Macaca fascicularis: one gene and its partners. The protein of the gene in region 1 binds, or shares a complex with, the protein of each later gene. Links are inferred from orthologs where the notes say so. Each region holds a gene or a part of one and is shown in the gene's direction. Other genes may lie near its edges.

Region 1 (7,864 bases):
GGGAGGCCAAGGCGGGTGGATCACAAGGTCAGGAGATCAAGACCATCCTGGCTAACACGGTGAAACCCTGTCTCTACTAAAAATACAAAAAAATTAGCCGGGCCTGGTGGCGGGCGCCTGTAGTCTCAGCTACTCCGGAGGCTGAGGCAGGAGAATGGTGTGAACCTAGGAGGCAGAGCTTGCAGTGAGCCGAGATCCCGCCACTGGACTCCAGCCTGGGCAACACAGCAAGACTCCATCTCAAAAAAAAAAAAGTGTGTGTTCAAGGACACATTCCTAACCCTTACATCACAACTTTTCTTCCCATCTAATGTGTCTTCCTCTTTCTTCTTGGCCAAGGAAAATCATATCCATTTCTTTCGACTACCTCAAACCACATGGATTTTTCCGTTCTCCACACTCCGACAATACAATAACTTTCATTTGTATAGCACATCTAACTCTTCAGAGTGCTTTCATATTTATTATTTCTTTTTCCTCACAGCAACCCCTGTACCAAGGACACAGGCCAAGGGTGGGGAGGAGCAGGAAAATGTTTACTAAGGGTCAACTAAGTGCAAGGCGATTTACCCGCATTATCTGTTTTAATCCCTTAACAATCCTTACAGGTGGACATTTTAATTCCCATTTCACAAGTGTGGAAATTAGATCTTAGTAAGATTTCATAACCTGCTGAAGAACACACAGGTATTAAGTGGTAGAGATGGGTTTTGAAGCTGGTGTCTCTGACTTTAAAGTCCCTACTGGTTCCATGACACCAAGTAAACAGATCTGCCTATTAACTATATTCCTCCAAGCTGCCCTGGGCAGGAGGTAATGTAATACTTTCTGATTTCTTGTCCACCACATCTTCCATCAGACCACTTTGATGTTATATAAAGTCTGTAGGCACAATTTAACAATGAATCACATACCATCTTACCTGGTTACCTGATTGTTTCATTTACATTAGATTCCACAACAAGATTGGTAACATCCCCCTTTCCCCAGGCAGGAATTGTGTCATCTTAACCTCCCTGAGCCTCAGTATCCTCTTCTTTCAAATGTCTGTCTTACAGGACTGTTGCAGAGATTAAATACCAGTTGTAAAGACGTTTGACATAATGTCTCGCACAAACTCTTCAGAAATATTTATTGCATCTCAACATCTTTTTCAACTTCTTCAACACGTCAGACAGGCCTGAGTGCCTGGGTTTTTGGCTATGCCAGTTCCTGTTGATTACTGATATAACAACGTTGGATCAGGAGTATTTCAGTGGGCAGATGTTGAATTTTCTGCCTTCCACCCACTAAAAGGTTTGCATCAAACCAGTCCAGGATAACTCATACTGGATCCCTGCCAGTTGATATAGTTAAGCTGATCTACAGATAAGAAAGAGTCTTGGGTACGTTTAGCTAGTAAATGCAGATCTGCCAAGACTCCAACCCAGTTCTTAAGATACCTGTGTCTGGGCTCCTTCCGCTCTACCAAGCCACCTTTCAAAGGTCTACCTGAAAATAACTAATGAGCAGAAACTACAGGGGGAAGGGGAAAAGACCCCTTATCTTGGTGTTTCTTGCTTTTCCTCGCAGCCCCGCCCTTTTTGCTTCGAAGGGTGAGTTTTTCCTGAATTCACAATACTTTTGCATTGAAGATGTCGGGGGTCCCTTTAAGGTCTTGGGTGACGTAATGACTAGCCCCGCCCTCTCTCTTCTCTCTTCTCAGCCCTGGCCATTTTTTTTTTTTTTTTTGTCCTCAACCAATTAGCGGCCCGACGCCCTTTCCGCGCCTCATCCGGGTTCCCGGGACTGGGAAATTGGCCTGGTAACCAGGCAACTACTGATCAATCCCCTCCCCAGCTGATTTGCGCATCAGGTAGTCGCCGCTCTGCGCTCAACGGTGGCGAGTTTCAGTAGCCAAGTGCCCCGCCCCCGTTGCCATAACAGCAGTACACAACCCCTCCTTCCCCTCGCCCGCTTGCTAAACAGTCCTTCCCTCTCGGGACCAAGGGCCTCTCCAGAACTGCTTCTGATTTAGCAGAAACAGGGTCTGAGCCCCTTTGCTAAGGCGAATTGAGTGGGAGGACTGGAGACTGCGCTTTAGGCTGGTGTACCAGAGGGCCCAAGGAAATTGGTCCAGTGGGGAGGGAAAAGTAGAAGAAATGAATGGAGCGGGGATTAGGGATGGCGCAGTGGGAGCTAAGAGGAGAGGAGGAGGAGGAGGACTTGGTAGGGAAGAGTGGAGAGCATGGCTTAAGGGGGAGGTGGGAAGAATGGGGGAGAGGGAAGCCCAGGAAATAGGGACACTGGGCTGCTGGAGGAGAGCTGAAGCCACTGCGAAGGACAGGAAAGGCCTGGGGGTGTGGGTGACATCCTGAAGGGAGGGGGTCCTCAGTGGAAAGTGTGAAGTGGGGGTTGAGAGTCAAAATGAGATGTTCACAGGGATGAGGAAAGAAGCCTAGAGTTGGTGGGTCAGAAGTGATGCGGGTGATGGGAGTGGCACGTGTCAATGACGATGAAGGAGCTGAAGGCTGGCAGAAGCTGAGGAGACCTTCTTTCTCAGGAGGAGGACTGAGCTTATCTGACTTCAGAGCTTTCAGGAGGGAAGAAAGATGTCAGATGAAGATGATCTAGAAGACTTTGAGCCAGACCAGGATGATTTTGAGAAAGAAGAGGACGAGAAGGAGACAGAGGAGGGGGAGGACTACAGAAAAGAGGGGGAAGAGTTCCCTGAGGAAGTGAGAGCCTGGACAAAGAGGGGTCCTAGGGCTGAGGGGCGGGGTTGGGCAGGGGAGGGACGCCTTATTCCACTTCCACCTGCAGTGGCTGCCCACGCCCCTCACGGAGGACATGATGAAGGAAGGGCTTTCTCTGCTCTGTAAGACAGGCAGTGGGCTGGCTCATGCTTATGTCAAGCTGGAGGTTAAAGAGAGGTGCGTTGTGGGGGGACCAGATGAGGACTGTGAGATTGTAGGGCCCCTGTCTCCTTTCCCACTGTCATTCCTGGGTGTTCTGGCTGAGAGTTTGACCCTTCTCATGCCTAGTGGAAAGGGAAGGACAAAATTTACTTTTCAGGAGCGCTGAGACTTCTATCAAAGCTGACCTGGGGAATTGGAGACTGAGAGTATATGGGGGGATTCCTGCTGGATTCCCTCATTTGTCTTTCAGAGTATGGGTTCTCTGTCCTTCACAGACACAGGTCTTTCTGCCCACTGTTAAGAACCCACCTACCTTCTCTTACCCTTCTTCTCGCCTACCATCTGTTGCCCATTCTTCTCCTCATTATAAGCCTTCTGCTTTAGCAACTCTGCCAGTCCTCGCTGGGTTCTTAACCCTAAACCTGGTTCCTTCTCCCTCTTCCATCTCCTAGGGACCTGACAGACATCTACTTGCTGCGCTCCTACATCCATCTGCGCTATGTGGATGTTTCTGAGAATCACCTGACAGACCTGTCGCCACTCAACTACCTCACCCACCTGCTCTGGCTCAAGGCTGATGGCAACCGGCTGCGAAGTGCCCAGCTGAATGAACTGCCCTACCTGCAGATTGCTAGTTTTGCTTATAACCAGATTACTGACACTGAAGGCATCTCTCATCCTCGTCTTGAAACCCTGAATCTCAAAGGTGGGTCTTTTTTTTTTTTTTTTGAGACGGAGTCTCGCTCTGTCGCCCAGGCTGGAGTGCGGTGGCCGGATCTCGGCTCACTGCAAGCTCCGCCTCCCGGGTTCACACCATTCTCCTGCTTCAGCCTCCCGAGTAGCTGGGACTACAGGCGCCTGCCACCTCGTCCGGCTAGTTTTTTTGTATTTTTTAGTAGAGACAGGGTTTCACCGTGTTAGCCAGGATGGTCTCAATCTCCTGACCTCGTGATCCGCCCATCTCGGCCTCCCAAAGTGCTGGGATTACAGGCTTGAGCCACTGCGCCCGGCCAAGGTGGGTCTTAGGATGGGCTACACAAGATTCTTTCCTTCCTAGCCTGAGGCCAACAGAAGTGGGCAGTATGGTCCTTGGCTATGGCACATGGCAGTCTGCATTCATTCATTCAGATACGCAATGTGATTCATTATGACAGTTCTACATGTTAACCATATAGGAGCGAATAAGACAAGAAATGTCCCTATTCTCATATAGCTTATATTTCTAGTTGGGAGAGACGTACAAGTAAAACAAACACAATACGTAAATTCATGTAGCATGTTAAAAGGAGACAAGTGCCTTGGAAGAAATAGATCAGAGTAAGAGGAATGGGGGACATAGGTGGCAATGTTAAATGGATTGGTTAGGACAACCATCACTGAGAAGATGACATTTGAGCAAAGAGTTGAAGAAGGAGAGGGAATTAGACATGTCAGCTGCTTCGTTCACTCTTCAAAGGCTTAGGTGGATATGTCCATCAGGACCTTGGACTACCACACCACTTGCCCCAGGGCTCTGGAGGTATTAAGTCTGGAGCTGTCCTTCCTCACTACTACCCTGCTTTGTGAATGTCCAGGATAGGGTGATTTAGAGGCTTCCCAAATTCAGGCTCTAATGCTGAACATTTGGAGTGGCCCTTTGAGCTCTTGAAACCCTCCTCCCCAGGAAACAGAATCCACATGGTGACAGGTCTGGACCCCCAGAAGCTGATCAGCCTGCACACAGTGGAGCTTCGGGGGAATCAGCTGGGAAGCACGGTGGGGATCAATCTTCCTAAGCTGAAGAACCTCTACCTGGTAACTCACTGGGTCATAGGGTGGTGCAGGGAAGAGGGCACTGTCCTGGGGGTCAGGATGCCTGTTTTCTAGTAGGCTCAGCTACTAACTTCTTCATTATGATAGTAACTGGTATTATCAAGCCCATAGTTGGTTCCAGATACTGTGGAGATACAGAGCCACCTAGCAGGGCTGATAATATATAATATGTGGATAATACAGAGATAATTTACTTTGATACAGGTAGCAGCAAAATGGACCATAATTGAGGTACAAACATCAGGCTGTGGAAATGTTTTAGGAAAACTCTCCTCTCAGATTGGGTTTTTCTTCAGCTCTTGCCCTAGCCACCACAGCAATAATCAACCTAAGACTTCCGGGGCCCAGGATGTGGGGTTTCTCCCCATACACCAAGTAGTAGATACCAGCTGGGTGATCTCTAATTCGATTCCGACACTATCTACCTGGGGATAGCATCAGATCCCACAGATTGAGGGCTCAGTTCCCAAGAGTGACCCCCACACCGTCCGCAGACACCAGTTGCAAGTCCAAACCTCCGGAACTTCTGACACATCAGCTTCAACATGAAGCTGGTTCCCATGACCTCTTCTTTGGATTTAATTAATTTTCTGGAGTGACTTTTTATCAGTTTATTGCAAGGGCAAAGGACACAGATGAAGAGATGCATAGGGCAAAGTCTGGGGGAATAGGTGCAGTGCTCCATGTCCTTCCTGGGTGCATCACCCTCCAAAAGCCTTCATGTGTTCAGCTACCCAGAAGCTCTCTGGACCCAGTCCTCTTGGGTTTCCATGGAAGCTTCAAATATTAGTATTCCCTCCCCCAGGGAATTGGGGAGGCTGTCTCTGGGGAGGGTCTTAAGAACCACAATCAGGCTGGGCACGGTGGCTCACGTCTGTAATCCCAGCACTTTGGGAGGCTGAGGCGGGCGGATCACGAGGTCAGGAGTTCAAAACCAGCCTGGCCAACATGGTGAAACCCTGTCTCTACGAAAAATACAAAAATTAGCCACACATGCTGACATGTGCCTGTAATCCCAGCTACTCGGGAGGCTGAGGCAGCAGAATCGCTTGAACCCAGGAGGCAGAGTTTGCAGTGAGCTGAAATGACACCACTGCAATCCAGCCTGGGAGACAGAGCAAGACTCCATCTCAAAAAAAAAAAAAAAAGAGGCCGGGTGCGGTGACTCATGCCTGTAATCCCAGCACTTTGGGAGGCTGAGGCGGGCGGATCACAAGGTCAGGAGATTGAGACCATCCTGGCTAACACGGTGAAACCCCATCTCTACTAAAAATACCAAAAAAATTAGCCAGGTGTGGTGGTGGGCACCTATAGTCCCAGCTACTCAGGAGGCTGAAGCAGGAGAGAGGCGTGAACCCGGGAGGTAGAACTTGCAGTGAGCTGAGATGGCACCACTGCACTCCAGCCTGGGCAACAGAGCAAGACTCCGTCTCAAAAACAAACAAACAAACAAACAAACAAACAAAAAACACACAACCAGAAAGAGGGAGAAGCGGGGAAAGATTAGAGCCTTCCCTTGGGGCAGGTGAAAAGACAGCAGGAGAAGGTTCCTGAGACCTGCCCCTGAGACCCAGCACACCCAACTTTATAACAAAAGACTGCAACAAGGGCTATTATGGGAGTTATAAGCTAGGGACTGTGGATGAAAATCGTTATATATAATAACACCACAGGGCCGGGCGCGGTGGCTCAAGCCTGTAATCCCAGCACTTTGGGAGGCCGAGACGGGCAGATCACAAGGTCAGGAGATCGAGACCATCCTGGCTAACACGGTGAAACCCCGTCTCTACTAAAAAATACAAAAAGCTAGCCGGGCGAGGTGGCGGGCGCCTGTAGTCCCAGCTACTCGGGAGGCTGAGGCAGGAGAATGGCGGGAACCCGGGAGGCGGAGCTTGCAGTGAGCTGAGATCCGGCCACTGCACTCCAGCCTGGGTGACAGAGCGAGACTCCGTCTCAAAAAAAAAAAAATTAACACCACAGGAAGCCACTGAAATATTTAGTCTTTTAGACTCTTTTTTTTTTTTTTTTTTTTTTTTTTTGAGATGGAGTCTCGCTCTGTCGCCCGGGCTGGAGTGCAGTGGCCGGATCTCAGCTCACTGCAAGCTCCGCCTCCCGGGTTTACGCCATTCTCCTGCCTCAGCCTCCCAAGTAACTGGGACTGTAGGCGCCCGCCATCTCGCCCGGCTAGTTTTTGTATTTTTCAGTAGAGACGGGGTTTCACCGTGTTCGCCAGGATGGTCTCGGTCTTCTGACCTCGTGATCCACCCGTCTAGGCCTCCCAAAGTGCTGGGATTACAGGCTTGAGCCACCGCGCCCGGCCTGTCTTTTAGACTCTTAAGCTTCGTTATTCTGGGATGGTGCTGATGGCAATCCTCAGTGGTGGCATGGGGGCTCCTGGGCCATATGGGGAGTGGGCTGAAGCATCTCCTCCATCCCAAGTGGCTTTGGGGGGTGAGTGGTAGCGGGTTACTGCTGACCTTTCTCTGGGATGGCAGCTTCTCCTGAACTTCTTTTTTTTTTTTTTTTTTTTTTTGAGACTGAGTCTCGCTCTGTCACCCAGGTTGGAGTGCAGTGGCCGGATCTCAGCTCACTGCAAGCTCCGCCTCCCGGGTTCCCGCCATTCTCCTGCCTCAGCCTCCCGAGTAGCTGGGACTACAGGCGCCCGCCACCTCGCCCGGCTAGCTTTTTGTATTTTTTTAGTAGAGACGGTGTTTCACCGTGTTAGCCAGGATGGTCTCGATCTCCTGACCTCGTGATCCGCCCGTCTCGGCCTCCCAAAGTGCTGGGATTACAGGCTTGAGCCACCGCGCCCAGCCAACTTCTTTACTTTCTATACTGATCTCTACTCATCCCCACTCCCTTCTTCCACTCCTCCCTCTCAACGTCTTGGATTTCCTCTTTTGCATTATCTCATTCTGACTTCTCTTTCTTCCCTGTCCCTGCTCCTTCTCAATCAATCCACTGTGCCCTGGGGGTCTAGGCCCAAAACCTGCTGAAGAAGGTGGAAGGCTTGGAGGACCTGAGCAATCTCACCACCTTGCATCTTCGAGACAACCAGATTGACACTCTGAGTGGCTTCTCCAGGGAAATGAAATCATTGCAGTACCTCAACCTGAGGTATGCACCCCTTCTAAGCCCCACCTTGTCCCTACCCC
Region 2 (8,139 bases), on another chromosome or scaffold:
CTACTTGGCGGCAGGGGGTGGGGAGGTGCACGGGGTCTTACGGTGGGAGGATCACTTGAGCCCAGGAGGTTGTGGCTGCAATGAGTTGAGATCTCACCACTGCACTCCAACCTGGGTGACAGAGTGAGACCCTGTCTAAACCAAAAAGAGAGAAGAAAAAAGAATTCTATAAAGGATATCGTTGGGAAAATTGGATGAATTGAATGTGAAATGTAGATTATGTGATATAATATATCCAAGTTAAATTTCTTGATTTTGAATACTGGAAGTATGAGTAAGAGAATGTCCTTGTTCTAGGGCTGAATAATGGCTCCCAAATGTGTCCATGTCTGAATACCTGGAACCTATGAATATGTCACCTTAAATGGCAAAAGGGACTTTGTAACTGTGATTAAATTAAGGATCTTGAGATAGGGAGATGATCCTGGATTATCTGAGTAGGAACAATGTAATCACAGATGTCACTGTAAGAGGGACACAGTACGGTCAGACAGGGAAGGTGATGCCAGAGCCGAGGGAGAAAAAGCGATGTGATCCAGGTCCTTGAGCCAAGGGTATCCTCTAGAAGCTGGAAAAGGCAAGAAAATGGATTCTCCCCAGAGCCTCCTGAGGAACCTGTGCTGCTGACACTTTGCTTTTAGCTCTACTAAATTCATTTTGGACTTCTGACCCCAAGACCTGCAAGGGAATTAAAAAAAAAAAATTTTAGTGGGGTAGTGATAGGGTGGGGACAGAGGTGGGTAGTGTCTCCTGCCAATCGGTGTCTCCTGCCAATCTGTGTGGCCCACTTGAACCAATGCATTTGGATAAACAACCTTCTACACCCTTCTTACTCAAAGCTGGTTTGATGACAGATGACCAGCAGCATTTCATCACCTGGGGACTTGTCGAGATGCAGAATCTCAGGTCCTACCCCACCCCACAGATTCAGAACCTGTATGTTAATAAAATCTCCAAGCAACTTGTAGTTACCAATCTACTTTGCCTGGATCACTGTAGAACTGTCCTTCCCAGAAGGCAGAATCACCAATTCTGCATTCTCTGGTCATTGGGTGGCTGCCACACTCCTTACATGTGGCAAGCCATATTGGCATACCTCCACCTACTCTAAATTGCCCATTTTCAACAATGATCTGAATGAAATGTGTTTCCGCAACAGTCACTGAGATGTGGTACAAAGACAGTAGAGCCAGCATAGAGTCACAGCGTGAGGCCTGGAGGGGAAGAAGTCAAGGGGATGCCTTTTATTTTTTATTTTTGAGACAGAGCCTCGCTCTGTCACCCAGGCTGGAGTGCAGTGGCGCAATCTCGACTCTCTGCAATCTCTGCCTCCTTGGTTCAAGCGATTCCGCTGTCTCAGCCTCCCGAGGAGCTGGGATTACGCCCGGCTTTTTGTATTTTTAGTAGAGACAGGGTTTCTTCATGTTGGCCAGGCTGCTCTCCAATTCCTGACCTCAGGTGATCCACCCACCTCGGCCTCCCAAAGTGCTAGGATTACAGGCGTGAGCCACCGCGCCTGGCCAAGGAGATGCCTTTTAAGGCCCACTCAGACCAATTTAGGGTACACTCACCAATTGGGGGAGAGGCTATTTTTCGGTGTTTCCCAGAACTCGCCTGACGGTCTGCTTACATTGTTCCTGGCCTGCACTCAATAGGCAAAATAAGAATAGGGGTTGTCTTTGTTTGCTGTATACCGCCCATGCTTGGCACACTAGGAGCTCAGTAAATATTTCTTGATTTATTCATTGAGAGCTCTGACGCCTGTGCTCATGCTTCCCTTTGATTTTTCCTTGCCCACTCTGGCACTTACTATCTCAACTAACATCTACTAAGGCCTCTCTTGCCCGGCACTGCCCCGCCCATAAGCTGAAAGAGAACACGGGAAAGGCTAGTACATGCACAGACGACTAGGCCGAGGAGGACTGCAAGGGCTTGGGCCTGGTGGAGACCGGACGGCTTCCTGGAGGTAAGGCACCCGAGTTGGTTCTGAAAGGAACCAAGCAGAGGTCACCAGCAAGAGCAAAGGTGCGGAGTTGTGAAACTGCCAGGCTATTAGCAGCTTGCAGTGACGGTCTTCCAACGACTCTAGGTCTTCCGCCCTTCTCCGATTGGCTGCCCTTCCTGGTTCCTCCTCAAAGCGCGCCACCCCCTCATCTCTCCCAGAGCATGCCTGCCTGCCAGCCAGGGTCCCTTGCTCTTTTCGGTCCCCCCACTCCTCCAGGTTTCTGTGCAGCAAGTCTCCTCAGCTCACCCACCTGCGCGCCGCCACATATGCCTTTCCTCGACCCTTCGTGCGCACACCCCGCTCCAGCGTGCCCGCTCCTCTCTGCTTGGCGCCCCGCTCCTACGCGCCCCCTCCTTCCCGGCCCCCGCCCCTTGGAGCGCGCCCGCTTCTCTCTGCCGCGCTCCCCTTCTCGCATTCCCTCTCCGCCACCTCGTGCGCGCTCTCCCTCCTGCACACCACCTCCTCTCTGCCGCACGCCCGCCCCCTGAACGCCCGCTCCTCTCTGGCCCCCTCCCCTTGCGCGCGCCCCCTTCTGCACGACCCCTTCTCTATGTCGCGCGCCCCGCTCCTGCACGCCTCCTCCTCTCTACCGTGTCCGCTCCACTCTGCCGCGCCCCCTCTACTCTGCCGCGCGCTCCTACCCCTGCACGCCCCCTCCATTCGGCCGCGGCCCCTCTACTCAGCGGTGCGCTACTGCTCCTGCACGCCCCCTCCTCCCTGCAGCGCGACCCCCCACGGCCCCCCCTTTCTGCTGCGCGTTCCCCCTCCACCGCCCACTGCGCGCCCTCTGCTCACCTACACGGGCTCCTGAGGCGCGCGCTCTCGTTGCCTGGCAACGGGACGCGGCTCCCGGGTGGCTAGCGTGCGCGTGTGTCGGGTGTGCGCACCGGGAAGGCCCGAACTGTTTTTGAGATTAGTTCCTCTAGCTTCGCTGGGTCCGGCGGGCAGAGGCGGTTCTGACCGTTGGGCCTTGGGCGTCGAGCAGGACTCACCTGAGGCGGAAGGAGGCCGCTTCGCGCCTGGGGCTCCCGAGAGCAGCCGGCTCTCCTTCTCCTGCTCGTCCTGAGCAGGGAGCGCTGCGTCTCTGTCTCCTGCGGGCTGCGGGAGACTCTTCCAGACTCCCGGGTGGGAAAACCACATCGAGCGCCCCGGGAGGTTGCCAGATGCAATACTGTACTGCATGCGCAGGTAACTGAATTTCAGATAAACGAGTTACTTTTCAGTACAAATATAGTATCACGCAAAGTTATTCGTTGTTTATCTGAAATTCAGAGTCACCTGGGCGAGCTGGGTTTTTAGTTGAGAAGTCTGGCACCCCTGCCCGGGTGCCCCTGCCCAGTCGGCTGGCTGTCTCCCAGGTGTGGGTAAGGAACCTCCTTCCATCTCTGTGGCACCTTCTTCAGGCTGTAGGCAGCTGTTTCTGTGGGAAACGGCTTTCTTATGTTGAGCCAAGATGCCTATTGGTGTATATGAAAAATAACATTGGTTACCACAGGAGAGATGGGTATTATCCTCGTTTCACGGACAGGAATATGCTAAGGGAGTTGGCAGGCCTTGCCTGGGTCCCACTGATATGCCCAGAAATCCGAGACAGAGCCTCCCCTGACTTGGCCCCACTGGTAGGCCAGAAGTTTTCTCTTTGGGGATAATGGCCCCCTTCCTACCTTCCCACATTTTATCTTTCTGGAGCAGTAATAGGAGTCTGTTCCCTTTTTTTTTTTTTTTTTACTTCAAATGACTTTGACATGTCTTTGTAGCGTTTTGGTCTTTCAGATACATCCTACTGAAGAAATACAGTGAAGATACTGTGTTCCAAAGTCATTTGTAATAATTCTTTTCTCTGTGTGGTTAAGACACCAATATCAACCTGATTTGGAATTAGGTTCATTAGTGCCAGTTTGCTTTCAGTTTTTAGAGTTTTTATGACTATGTTTATATATACACATATTCCTTTCCTCACTGCTGTTGCTAATGCAAAAGATGACGGATCATATACAATTTCAGCACCTTGTTTTCTTTATTTTGTGTCTTAGAGATCACTCTTTAGTTTCTTCATTCTCTTGTACATCTGCATAATAATCCATTGTGTTGCTCTTATTAATCCCCAATTTGATGAACATTTAGATGGTGCTTCAGTGTGACTATTGTAAATAATGCTGCAAATACCTGTGTGCATATGCCATTTCATATTTTTGCAACTATATCTTTGAGATAGGATCCAAGAAGCAAGATTGATGAGTCAAAGGGTGAATGCATATGTGATTTTCTAGATGTTGTCAAATTCTCCTCCATAGGAGTTACACCATTTTGCCTTCCCACCACTGTCATATGGCATATGCGCATGGTTATGCATAAAATTTCAGAGACACTGAATTTTTCCATAGAATAAAAATTGGGGGTTATGGACGGACCCCCAGATGTCAGTGTCTCTGAACTTTTATGCAAAATGCTAGGTGCATTTGTCCAGGGACAGGTTTAGACACAGTGGCATTCTATCCCCTATAATTGCCATGCTCATTCTTATATCAGGGCCTTTCCTCATACCTAGAAGACTCTTCCTTCTCTTCTTTGTCATGTTAATTTTACTGTTTTTTTTTTTTTTTCTTTTTGGGTAAATGTGAGCTTAGCTCAAATGTCACCCCCAGAGAAGCTTTTTTTTTTTTTTTTACTTTCCTGACTTGATCAGCTCCTCCTCTCCTCTGGTCTCATAGTACTTATTTTAACTTCAATTTCATATTTATTGATTTAAATATTTATCTTCCCTTCTCATCTGTAAGCTCCATGAAGGCAGAGACTGTTTTTGTTTTAGTTTGGGCTGCTATAGCAAATTACCAACACTGGGTGGCTTAAAAACAGTACACATTTATTTCTCATCATTCTGGAGGCTGGAAAGTCCAAAATCAAGGCATTGGCATTTCTGGTGTCTGGTGAGGACCCTCTGCCTGGTGTGCAGGTGGCTGTCTTCTAGTTTTATTCTCAGATGGCAGAGAGTGAGAGCAAGCTCTCCCGTCTCTTTTTATAAGGGCATTAATCCCATGCATGAGGGCTCCACACTAATGATCTAATCACTTCCCAAAGGCTCCTAATACCATCACATTGGGAGTTAGGATTTCAACATACAGATTTTTGGGGACACAGACATTCAAGCCACAATAGTTTTGTATTCCCAGTACCTATCATGGTGCCTGACCTACAACAGGTATTTTTGTTTGTTTGTTTGTTTGAGATGAAGTTTCACTCTTGTTGCCCAGGCTGGAGTGCAATGGCACAATCTCAGCTCACTGCAACCTCTGCCTCCCGGGTTCAAGTGATTCTTCTGCCTCAGCCTTCCTGGTAGCTGGGATTACAGGCATGTGCCACCATACCTGGATAATTTTGTATTTTTAGTAGAGACAGCATTCACCACTATGGCCAGGCTGGTCTCGAACTCCTGACCTCAGGCGATCCTCCAACCTCAGCCTCCCAAAGTGCTAGGATTACAGGTGTGAGCCATTGCACCCAGCAAATATTCATTATACATTTGTTGAACAATTGATTACATTTCATCAGACTATCAGGAGAGTCTGAATTTCTTAAAATATTAAGGGTAATCTGAGGGTGATCAATTTTTCCAAAGCACCTGAAAGAGATTGGTTGCTGCGTTTTTCCTTTTCTGTTTTAAAAACAATCTGGTCTATGATTATTCCTGTTTATCTTCATAACTGGAAGGAGTAGGACATAACTGGGAGAGTGGAGAAATTCATTCCCTTGCCACCATGGAGAAACAGCTGTGTCAGCCCTGTGATTAAAACACTCTTCAAGCAGCTAGAGGAGTTTGTCTTCTAGTGGGAAGACAGACACACACACACAGAGATAGTGTAATTCTCTATGATAGTGTGGTAAATGCTATGTAAGCTGCTTGGAGCAAGAGGAACTTCTTTGGGTTGCCTGGGAAAGCTCAGGGAATAAGAAATGATTCTCTACCTTGCAGGGGAGGAGATCTTTTGAGAGAGAGAGAGGAGAATGAGGGATCATCATGTACAAGAGTCATGGAGATGGAAATGTGCAAGGGGTGGTCATCGGAATGGCAGGATGTCCATGGAGTTAGAGCCCAGGGTGTGCTGGGGCCAAGAGAGATGATGTCTGGAGGTGAACCTGAAAAGAAAATTGGGGCCAGATTGTGAGGAGCTTCATATGTTATTATTTGGAGGCTGAGTTTTCATTCTTTGGCCTTGGAAATTTATGGATTTTTTTTTTCAAAAGGTGGACTATTGTGATGCTTTGTAAAAATGGCTCTCATGGCTTAGGAGGGACATTTTAGTGTAGTCTTTAGGGTTAGGGTTTTGGAATCAGGAGGTGGGTACAAACCCTGCCTCCTTCATCTGCCAGCTGTGTTATCCTGAACTATGCACTTATGCTGTCTGTGCCTGGGCTTGCTCATGTTCCCATTGGGATCATGATACCTATTTTTCAGGTATGTTGTGAGAATTAAATGAGACCCACATAACTTGGCATTAAGTAAACTTGAAATCAATGATGATAATATCTCTTTTCTGACTCTTGGACTTGAGGTCCTCCAGGACTTTTGAAACCGTGTTAGTTGTAGTGACTTCTGTGGAGTCCTTTTGGAAACTAAAACTATTAGAAGTTTCCTGGGGCCAGCTTGCTTGTGACACCCCCAAGAGGAGGTGGACATGACTGAGGGCAGGGTGTATGTAAGGCTTTGTTCAAATCACTGGACTTGAGTCTTATAGTGACTTTATTGAAGATATCCTGCAGTAATGCAAAAACACTTACTTTTTAGGAGTTTTTATTTAGGAGTTAGAAACGGAGTCAATATATCTTCAAAAGCACCTTGGGGCATGTTTAACTCAAGGTCTTGCAGAAGTGGCAAGAGTTCGCCCAGTGGATCCAATAGAATATTTAGCATTGTGGATTTACAAGTTTAAGGACAATGTGACCATGGAACAACTGGTAAGTAGGAATCTCCTTCTAGAAAATTAGAAGAAAAAAAATTGGTCGAACTTGCCTGCTTTTTAAAAACTTTAATATTATTATTTTTCTGTTATAAAAATAATGTTTATTATACAAAAACTTGAACAACATGGAAAGTAGGAAGGAGAAAACAGTACCCAAAGAAGACTTCTATTTAGATTTTTAGGTAATTCCTTTCATGGGAAGTATTTTTTCTATAGATTTATAGATTTGTTTATGCATTTGTGATCATACACAATGTATAACTTTAATATTGTGCTCATTATTCAGATAAAATATCTTCCCAAATTATTATATTGTTTCTAAAGGGATGGGCTATAATTTGTTTAACCCTTTCCCTAATTGTCTCTATTAAATGCTTTGAAGATTGCTTTTACAAATTGCTTTCTCTCTAAGAAGTCATGTGCTGTTGTTTTTAAACAATGCTAGAGACAAAAGGAAATGGCCGAGCTGGAGCATGAAAGAGAATTAGCTCTGATGGAGCAGGAAATGATGGAAAGACTCAAAGCAGAGGAGCTCTTACTTCAGCAGGTGAGGCAAGTAGGATAGTTCAGAGGGGACTGGAATTAACGATGCCAACCTCAGCGTGGCACAGCCCAAATGTTGATAAACTTCTCATCTCCAGTTACTTAGATATGGCTTCCTAATATCTTCATCTTTATGGATGTGTGTGTCTTCTTTGCTGGAGAAGCAGCAGCCATGAGTTTTCCTGACTGCATTCTTGTATACATACATACATACACATTCCTTTCTACACTGCTGTTGCTGATACAAAAGATGCCATACCTCCAGGTAAGAGGAAAATGCAGAGAGTATGCTGTCACAGAAGGCAAAGGGAACGAGTGTTTTGGTGAGATCTGAGTGGTCAACCATATCTATTGCTGAATGGAAAAGTGTTCATCAGAGGCCACCGTAATTTGGTGGGAATAGTGTGGATGGAGTGGTGGGGGTGGGTGGAGTTAGGCAGGGGAGATGGAAAATGTAGGCAGTGCTTTCAAGATTTTGAGAGCAAGGAGAGATGCTTTTGTGTTTAAGAGCACAGTAGTGGAGGAGTGAGTGGATGACATCAGGAAATAAAGTGGATGATTCGTAGGGTCAGCTTGCCATGGAGATGGAGGAAATGGGCCCAGATCATAGGTTAGGCAGGCAGAAGGCACTTC
Region 3 (7,385 bases), on another chromosome or scaffold:
CCTGGGCGACAGAGCGAGACTCCGTCTCAAAAAAAAAAAACAAAAAAACAAAGAACAGTAGATTTTAAGTGTTCTCACCACAAAAAAAGACAAGTATTTGAGGTAATGCATATGTTAATTAGCCTGATTTAGTCTTTCCATGGTGTTTACATATTTCAAAACAACATGTACACAATAAATATATACAATATTTTTTATCTATTAAAAAATTTGTTGTGCTCACTTCAGCACATACACTAAAATTGGAACGATACAGAGAAGATTAGCATGGCCCCTGTGCAAGGATGACATGCTTTTAAAATAAAAAAAAATTTTAAGTACACTGATAAGTTAAAAAAATTTGGGGGGCCAGGGGCGGTGGCTCACACCTGTAATCCCAGCACTTTGGGAGCCTGACATGGGCAGATCACTTGAGGTCAGGAGTTCGAGACCAGACTAGCCAACATAGTGAAACCCCATCTCTACTAAAAATAAAAAAAATTAGCCTGGCGTAGTGGCATGCACCTGTAATCCCAGCTACTCGGGAGGCTGAGGCAGGAGAATTGCTTGAACCCGGAAGGCAGAGGTTGCAGTGAACTGAGATCACACCACTGCACTCCAGCCTGGGCAACACAGCAAGACCACGTCTCAAAAAAAAAATATTAAAAAGATTTTTGTTTAATGATTAGTACCTGATGAATTAGCATAATGAACTTTATATAATATATGAATAAAACATTTGCCCATGTTGAGAAAAAATTTGTATACATTAATTGTGTGCAATTTTATGTACCTCAATAATACTTCAATAAAGCTGTAAAAAGGAAAATTCCATTCACAATGGCATTAAAAATAATATAATATTTAGGCATAGTTTTTTTTTTTAAGAGACAAGAGTTTCTCTCTTGTCACCCAGGCTGGAGTGCAGTGGCCCAATCTCGGCTCACTGCAGCCTCTGCCTCCTGGGTTCAAGCGATTCTCCTGCTTCAGCCTCCTGAGTAGCTGGGATTATAGGCGACCACCACCACGCCTGGCTAATTTTTTGTATTTTTAGTAGAGATAGGGTTTCGCCACGTTGGGTGGGCTGGTCTCAAACTCCTGACCTCAGGTGATCCACCTGCCTTGGCCTCCCAAAGTGCTGGGATTTCAGGTATGAGCCACCGCGCCCAGCCACATTTAGGCATAAATTTAACGAAAGTGGAATTCTTGTACACTGAAAACAAAAAACATTGCTGAGAGAAATTTTAAAATATCTAAATAAATAGATATTCCATATTCATGGATTGGAAGACTCAGTATTGTTAAGATGGCAATTCTTTCTAAATTAATGAACAGTTTTGGGTTGGATGCAGTGGCTATGCCTGTAATCTCAACACTTTGGGAGGCTGAGACAGGAGGATTGCTTGAGTCTAGGAGTAGGAGACCAGTCTGGGCAATGAAGTGAGACCTCATCTGTACAAGAAAAAAAAAAAAAAAATTAAAGAAAATTTTAATGTAATCCTCATCAAAGTCCCTGCATACTTTTATGTAGAAATTGACAAACTGAGTTTAAAATTTAGTAAAATTGCAAAGAACTCAATTTTGGAAAAGAAGAACAAAGTTGGAAGACTTCCACTATCTGATTTTGAAACTTACTACAAAGCCACAATTATAAGGCAGTGTGGCAGTGACATAAAGATACATATATAGATTATTGGGGCCGGGCGCGGTGGCTCAAGCCTGTAATCCCAGCACTTTGGGAGGCCGAGACGGGCGGATCACGAGGTCGGGAGATCGAGACCATCCTGGCTAACACAGTGAAACCCCGTCTCTACTAAAAAGTACAAAATACTAGCCGGGCAAGGTGGCGGGCGCCTGTAGTCCCAGCTACTCGGGAGGCTGAGGCAGGAGAATGGCGTGAACCCGGGAGGCGGAGCTTGCAGTGAGCTGAGATCCGGCCACTGCACTCCAGCCTGGGCGACAGAGTGAGACTCCGTCTCAAAAAAAAAAAAAAAAAAAAAAAAAAGATTATTGGAACAGAATTGAGAATCTAGAAATAAACTTTTACACTTATGGTCAATTCACTTTCAACAAAGGTGCCTAGACAATTCCGTGAGAAAAGGATGGTCTTGCCAATACAGTCCCCAACTTACCATGGTTCAAGTTACAGCTTTTTGACTTTACTATGGTGCTTTCAGCTGTGTACATTAATGGTGAATATCCATACAACCATTCTATTTTTGTTTTTTTTTTTTTTTTTTTTGAGACAGGGTCTCTCTCTGTCACCCAGGCTGAAGTGCAGTGGTGCCCACTGCAGCCTGAACTCGTGGGCTCAAGCATTCTCCCACTTCAGCCTCCTGAGTAGCCGAGACTACAGGCATAGACCACTGTGCCTGGCTACTTTTTGAATTTTTTTGTTGTAGAAAGGAGGTCTCGCCATATTGCCCAGGCTGGTATTGAACTCTTGGCCTCAAGAGATCCTCCCCCCAAAAAGATAAAAATATATATATATTTTTGTATATATCTTTATATATGCATCTGAAAAACACTGAATATAAATAAATATATATATATATTTTAATTTACATATGCACCTGTAAATCCAGCTATTCAGTATTCAGGAGGCTGAGGTGGAAGGATTGCTTAAGAGAGATATATATATATATATATATTTTTTTTTTTTTTTTTTTGAGACAGAGTCTCGCTCTGTCGCCCAGGCTGGAGTGCAGTGGCGTGATCTTGGCTCACTGCAAGCTCCGCCTCCCGGGTTCACGCCATTCTCCTGCCTCAGCCTCCCGAGTAGCTGGGACTACAGGCGCCCGCCACCTCGCCCGGCTAGTTTTTTTGTATTTTTTAGTAGAGACGGGGTTTCACTGTGTCAGCCAGGATGGTCTCGATCTCCTGACCTCGTGATCCGCCCGTCTCGGCCTCCCAAAGTGCTGGGATTACAGGCTTGAGCCACCGCGCCCGGCCATATATACATATTTTTTTTAAGAGACAGAGTTTTGCTTTGTTGCCCAGGTGGTCTCAAACTCATGGCTTCAGGTACTCCTCCTGCCTCAGCCTCCCAAGGAGCTAGGACTACAGGTGTGAACCACTGTGCCCAGCTCATAATATATGTATATTATATAGAAAATGTTGGGCCGGGCGCAGTGGCTCAGGGCCGGGCGCGGTGGCTTACGCCTGTAATCCCAGCACTTCGGGAGGCCGAGGCGGGCGGATCACAAGGTCAGGAGATCGAGACCACGGTGAAACCCTGTCTCTACTAAAAATACAAAAAATTAGCCGGGCGCGGTGGCAGGCGCCTGTAGTCCCAGCTACTCAGGAGGCTGAGGCGGGAGAATGGTGTGAACCTGGGAGGCAGAGCTTGTAGTGAGCTGAGACGGTGCCACTGCACTCCAGCCTGGCTGACAGAGCAAGACTCCATCTCAAAAAAAAAAAAAAAGAAAGTGTTATTTATATAAAATTTGCTTTGTATTAGATGACTTTGCCCAACTGTAGGCTAATGTAAGTGTTCTGAGCACATTTAAGGTAGGCTATGCTATGCTATGATGTTCAATAGGCTAGGTGTATTAAATGTGTTTTTGACTTAATGATATTTTCAACTTATGATGGATTTATTGGGATGTAACCCATGTAAGTTGAGGAAAATCTGTATATGGTGCTAGGATGTAGGACAGCATGATAGTCACATAAAAACAAGAAGAACTTAGACCCTTGTTTCATAGCCTACACAAAAATTAACTCAAAATGGCTCACAGACTTCAGTGTAAAAACATCTAAAAGAAAACCGGAGAAAATCTTTGTAACTGGAGTTGGACAAAGAGTTCTTAAAATGACATCAAAAGCAAGATCCATAAAAGAAAATATTGATAAATTGGACTAAATCAAATTAAAAACTTTTGTGCTTCAAAAGACATCATTAAGAATATGAAAAGAGGCCAGGCATGATGGCTAATGCCTGTAATCCCAGGACTTTGGGAGGCTGAGGCGGGCGGATCATGAGGTCAGGAGATCAAGACCATCCTGGCTAACACAGTGAAACCCAGTCTGTAACTAAAAAATACAAAAAATTGCCGGGCACGGTGGCTCACGCCTGTAATCCCAGCACTTTGGGAGACTGAGGTGGGCGGATCACGAGGTCAGAAGATCGAGACCATCCTGGTTAGCACGGTGAAACCCCGTCTTTACTAAAAATACAAAAAATTAGTCGGGCATGGTGGTAGGCACCTGTAATCCCAGCTGCTCGGGAGACTGAGGCAGGAGAATGGCGTGAACCCGGGAGGCAGAGCTTGCAGTGAGCTGAGATCATGCCACTGCACTACAGCCTGGCGACAGAGCAAGACTCTGTCTCAAAAAAAAAAAAAAAGAATTTGAGGAGCTGGGAGCAGTGGTTTGCACCTGTAAATCCAGCTATTCAGGAGGCTGAGGTGGAAGGATTGCTTGAGGCCGGGAGTTTGAGACCAGCCTGAGGGACATAGTGAGTGACACCCTGTCTCTGAAAACTTAAAGGAAAAAAAAGCTGGGTGTGATGGCACACACTTGCAGGCCCAGCTACTTGGAAGGCTGAGGCCAGAGGATGCTTCAGCCCAGGAGTTCGAGGCTGCAGTGAGCTGTGCTCATACCACCACACTCCAGACTGGGCAACAGAACAAGACCCTGTGTCTAAAAAAAAAAAAAAAAAAAAAAGTTAAATTTTTATAAATATGAAAAGATAGGTAGGCAACAGACTGGGAAAAAATATTGGCAAATAATATACCACATAAAGAAATAAAGAACTTGTAACTAGAATATATAAAGAACTCCTATGTCTAAATAATAAGAGAAACATCCCAACTGAAAACCGAGGCTGGTTCTACTCAGGAGGCTGAGGCAGGAGAATTGCTGGAGCCCGGGAGATGGGGTTGCAATGAACTGAGATCGTGCCACTGCACTCCAGCCTGGGTGACAAGAGTGAAACTGTGTCAAAGAAAAAAAGAAAAGAAACAGAAAACAGGCTGGTTGCAGTAGCTTATGCCTGTAATCTTAGCACTTCGGGAGGCTGAGACAGGCAGATCATTTGACGTCAGGATTTCAAGACCAACCTGGCCAACATGGTGAAACCCTGTCTCTACTAAAAATACAGAAATTAGGGCCTAGCACGGTGTCCCATGCCTGCAATCCTAGCACTTTGGGAGGCTGAGGTGGGCGGTTTACCTTAAGTCAGGAGTTCTAGACCAACCTGGGCAACATGGTAAAACCCTGTCTCTACTCAATGTACAAAAATTAGCCAGGCATAGTGGCACACGCCTGTAATCCTAGCTACTTAGGAGGCTGAGGCAGGAGAATCACTTGAACTTAGGAGGCAGAGGTTGCAGTGAGCTGAGATCATGCCACTGCATTCCAGCCTGGACAACAGAGCGAGACTCTGTCTCAAAAAATTAAAAATAAATAAATAAATAAATAAAATAAAATAAAATAAAAATACAAAAGTTAGCAGGGTGTGGTGACGCAGACCTGTAGTCCCAGCTGCTCGGAAGGCTGAGGTGGGAGAATCGCTTGAACCCAGGAGGAGTTTGCAGTGATCTGAGATTGCATCACTGCACTCCAGCCTGGGCAACAGAGCGAGACTCCATCTCAAAAAATATATATGAAAAAGAGAAATGTTCTTTAAAAAGAGCCTTTTTAATGATTGTATAGTATTTAATCATTATGTTTGCTTCAATGAGAATACGTTTGTATTTGCAGTGATCGTTGAGCCCATTCCAATTGGACAAGCTGCTAAGGACTATTTAAATTTACATATAATGCCAACTTTGCTTGAAGGACTCACAGAGCTTTGTAAGCAAAAACCAGCAGATCCTTTGGTAAGAAATATTTTTATTCACACTTAAAAATATTGTCACCAGGCACGGTGGCTCACACCTGTAATCCCAGCACTTTGGGAGGCCAAGGCGGGCGGATCCCAAGGTCAGGAGTTTGAGATCAGCCTGATCAACATGGTGAAACCCCGTCTCTACTAAAAGTACAAAAATTGGCCAGGCGTGGTGGTGCGTGCCTGTAATCCCAGCTACTCAGGAGACTGAGGCAGGAGAATCACTTGAACCTGGGAGGCAGAGGTTGCGGAGAGCCAAGATTGTGCCACTGCACTCCAGCCTGGGCGACAGAGCGAGACTCCATGCCCCCCAAAAAAATTGTCTATAAATTGTCTATAGTTTTCATGTTTAAGACATTGTGTCCTTTGAAATACTGCAAATATTGAGAACCGTTTTTAAATAAACATTTCTATAAGGTATTTTATATACATTTTAGATATGTATAATTATTGATTACTTATTTTCTTGCTGTGTTTATTTATTATTATGATTATTATTTGAGACAGAGGAGTCTCACTCTGTCGCCCAGGCTGGAATGCAGTGGCGCAATCTGGGCTCACTGCAACCTCCGCCTCCCAGGTTCAAGCAATTCTCCTGCCTCAGCCTCCCGAGTAGCTTGGATTACAGGTGTGCGCCACCACGCCTGGCTAATTTTTGTATTTTTGGTAGAGACGACGTTTCTCCATGTTGGCCAGGCTGGTCTTGAACTCCTGACCTCATGTGATCCACCTGCCTTGGCCTCCCAAAGTGCTAGGATTACAGGCGTGAGCTGCCACGCCTGGCCTGTCTTTTTTTTTTGGTAGCCATCCTGCTAGATAACACAAAGTGGTTTCTCACGGTGGTTTTGATCAGCATTTCCCTAATGACTAATGTTGAGCATCTTTCCATGAGCTTGTTGGCCATTTGTATACCTTCTTTGAAGAAATGTCTATTCAAATTCAAGTCCTTTGCCGGTTTTTAAACTGGGTTGTCTTTTTGTTGAGTTAAAGTTCTTCATATTTCTAGATATTAAACCCTTATTAGATATATGATTTGCAAATATTGTCTTCCATTTTGTAGGTTGTCTTTTTACTTGCTTGATAATGTCCTTTAATGTATAAACATTTTTCATTTGATGAAATCCAATTTATTTATTTTTTTCTTTTATTTCTTGTGCTTTTGGTGTCATGTCTAAGAATCCATTGTGAAATCCAAATCCAAGGTCATGAAAATTTTCCCCTATGTTTTATGTTTTCTTTTAAGATTTTTTTTCTTTTTTCTTTCCTTTTTTTTTTTTTTTTTTTTTTTGAGTCATTTGAGTCTTTGTTGCCCATGCTGGAGTCCAGTGGCGCAATCTTGGCTCACTTCAACCTCTGCCTCCTGGGTTCAAGTGATTCTTGTGCACCAGCCTCCCAAGTAGCTGGGACCACAGGAGCACACTACCACACCCAGCTAATTTTTAAAATTTTTTGTAGAGATAGGGTCTCCCTATGTTGCCCAGTCTGGTCTTGAACTCCCGGTCTCAAGTGATCTTCCTACCTTGGCCTCCAAAAGTGTTGAGATTACAGGTGTGAGTCACTGCACCTGGCCTCT

The links.
Region 2: LRRC23 (region 1) and DYDC1 share a complex: the UniProt entries of both Homo sapiens proteins name them as parts of the axonemal radial spoke complex. The link is inferred for Macaca fascicularis from reciprocal best matches to the Homo sapiens genes LRRC23 and DYDC1.
Region 3: LRRC23 (region 1) and NME5 share a complex: the UniProt entries of both Homo sapiens proteins name them as parts of the axonemal radial spoke complex. The link is inferred for Macaca fascicularis from reciprocal best matches to the Homo sapiens genes LRRC23 and NME5.

Annotation. Positions count from the first base shown.
Region 1 is NC_088385.1:7,839,674-7,847,537, forward strand, and holds the start of LRRC23 (leucine-rich repeat-containing protein 23), read left to right. Parts: upstream 1-2,448; 5' UTR 2,449-2,591; coding exon 2,592-2,717; intron 2,718-2,802; coding exon 2,803-2,912; intron 2,913-3,349; coding exon 3,350-3,603; intron 3,604-4,560; coding exon 4,561-4,691; intron 4,692-7,689; coding exon 7,690-7,826; intron 7,827-7,864. UniProt on the Homo sapiens protein: Essential for sperm motility and male fertility. Plays an important role in the proper assembly of the third radial spoke (RS3) head and the bridge structure between RS2 and RS3 in the sperm flagella.
Region 2 is NC_088383.1:66,448,832-66,456,970, forward strand, and holds the start of DYDC1 (DPY30 domain-containing protein 1), read left to right. Parts: upstream 1-2,856; 5' UTR 2,857-3,193; intron 3,194-6,788; 5' UTR 6,789-6,946; coding exon 6,947-6,958; intron 6,959-7,408; coding exon 7,409-7,510; intron 7,511-8,139. UniProt on the Homo sapiens protein: Functions as part of axonemal radial spoke complexes that play an important part in the motility of sperm and cilia. Plays a crucial role during acrosome biogenesis.
Region 3 is NC_088380.1:144,602,758-144,610,142, reverse strand, and holds part of NME5 (nucleoside diphosphate kinase homolog 5), read left to right. Parts: intron 1-215; exon of another isoform or gene 216-315; intron 316-5,685; coding exon 5,686-5,804; intron 5,805-7,385. UniProt on the Homo sapiens protein: Functions as part of axonemal radial spoke complexes that play an important part in the motility of sperm and cilia. Does not seem to have nucleoside diphosphate kinase (NDPK) activity.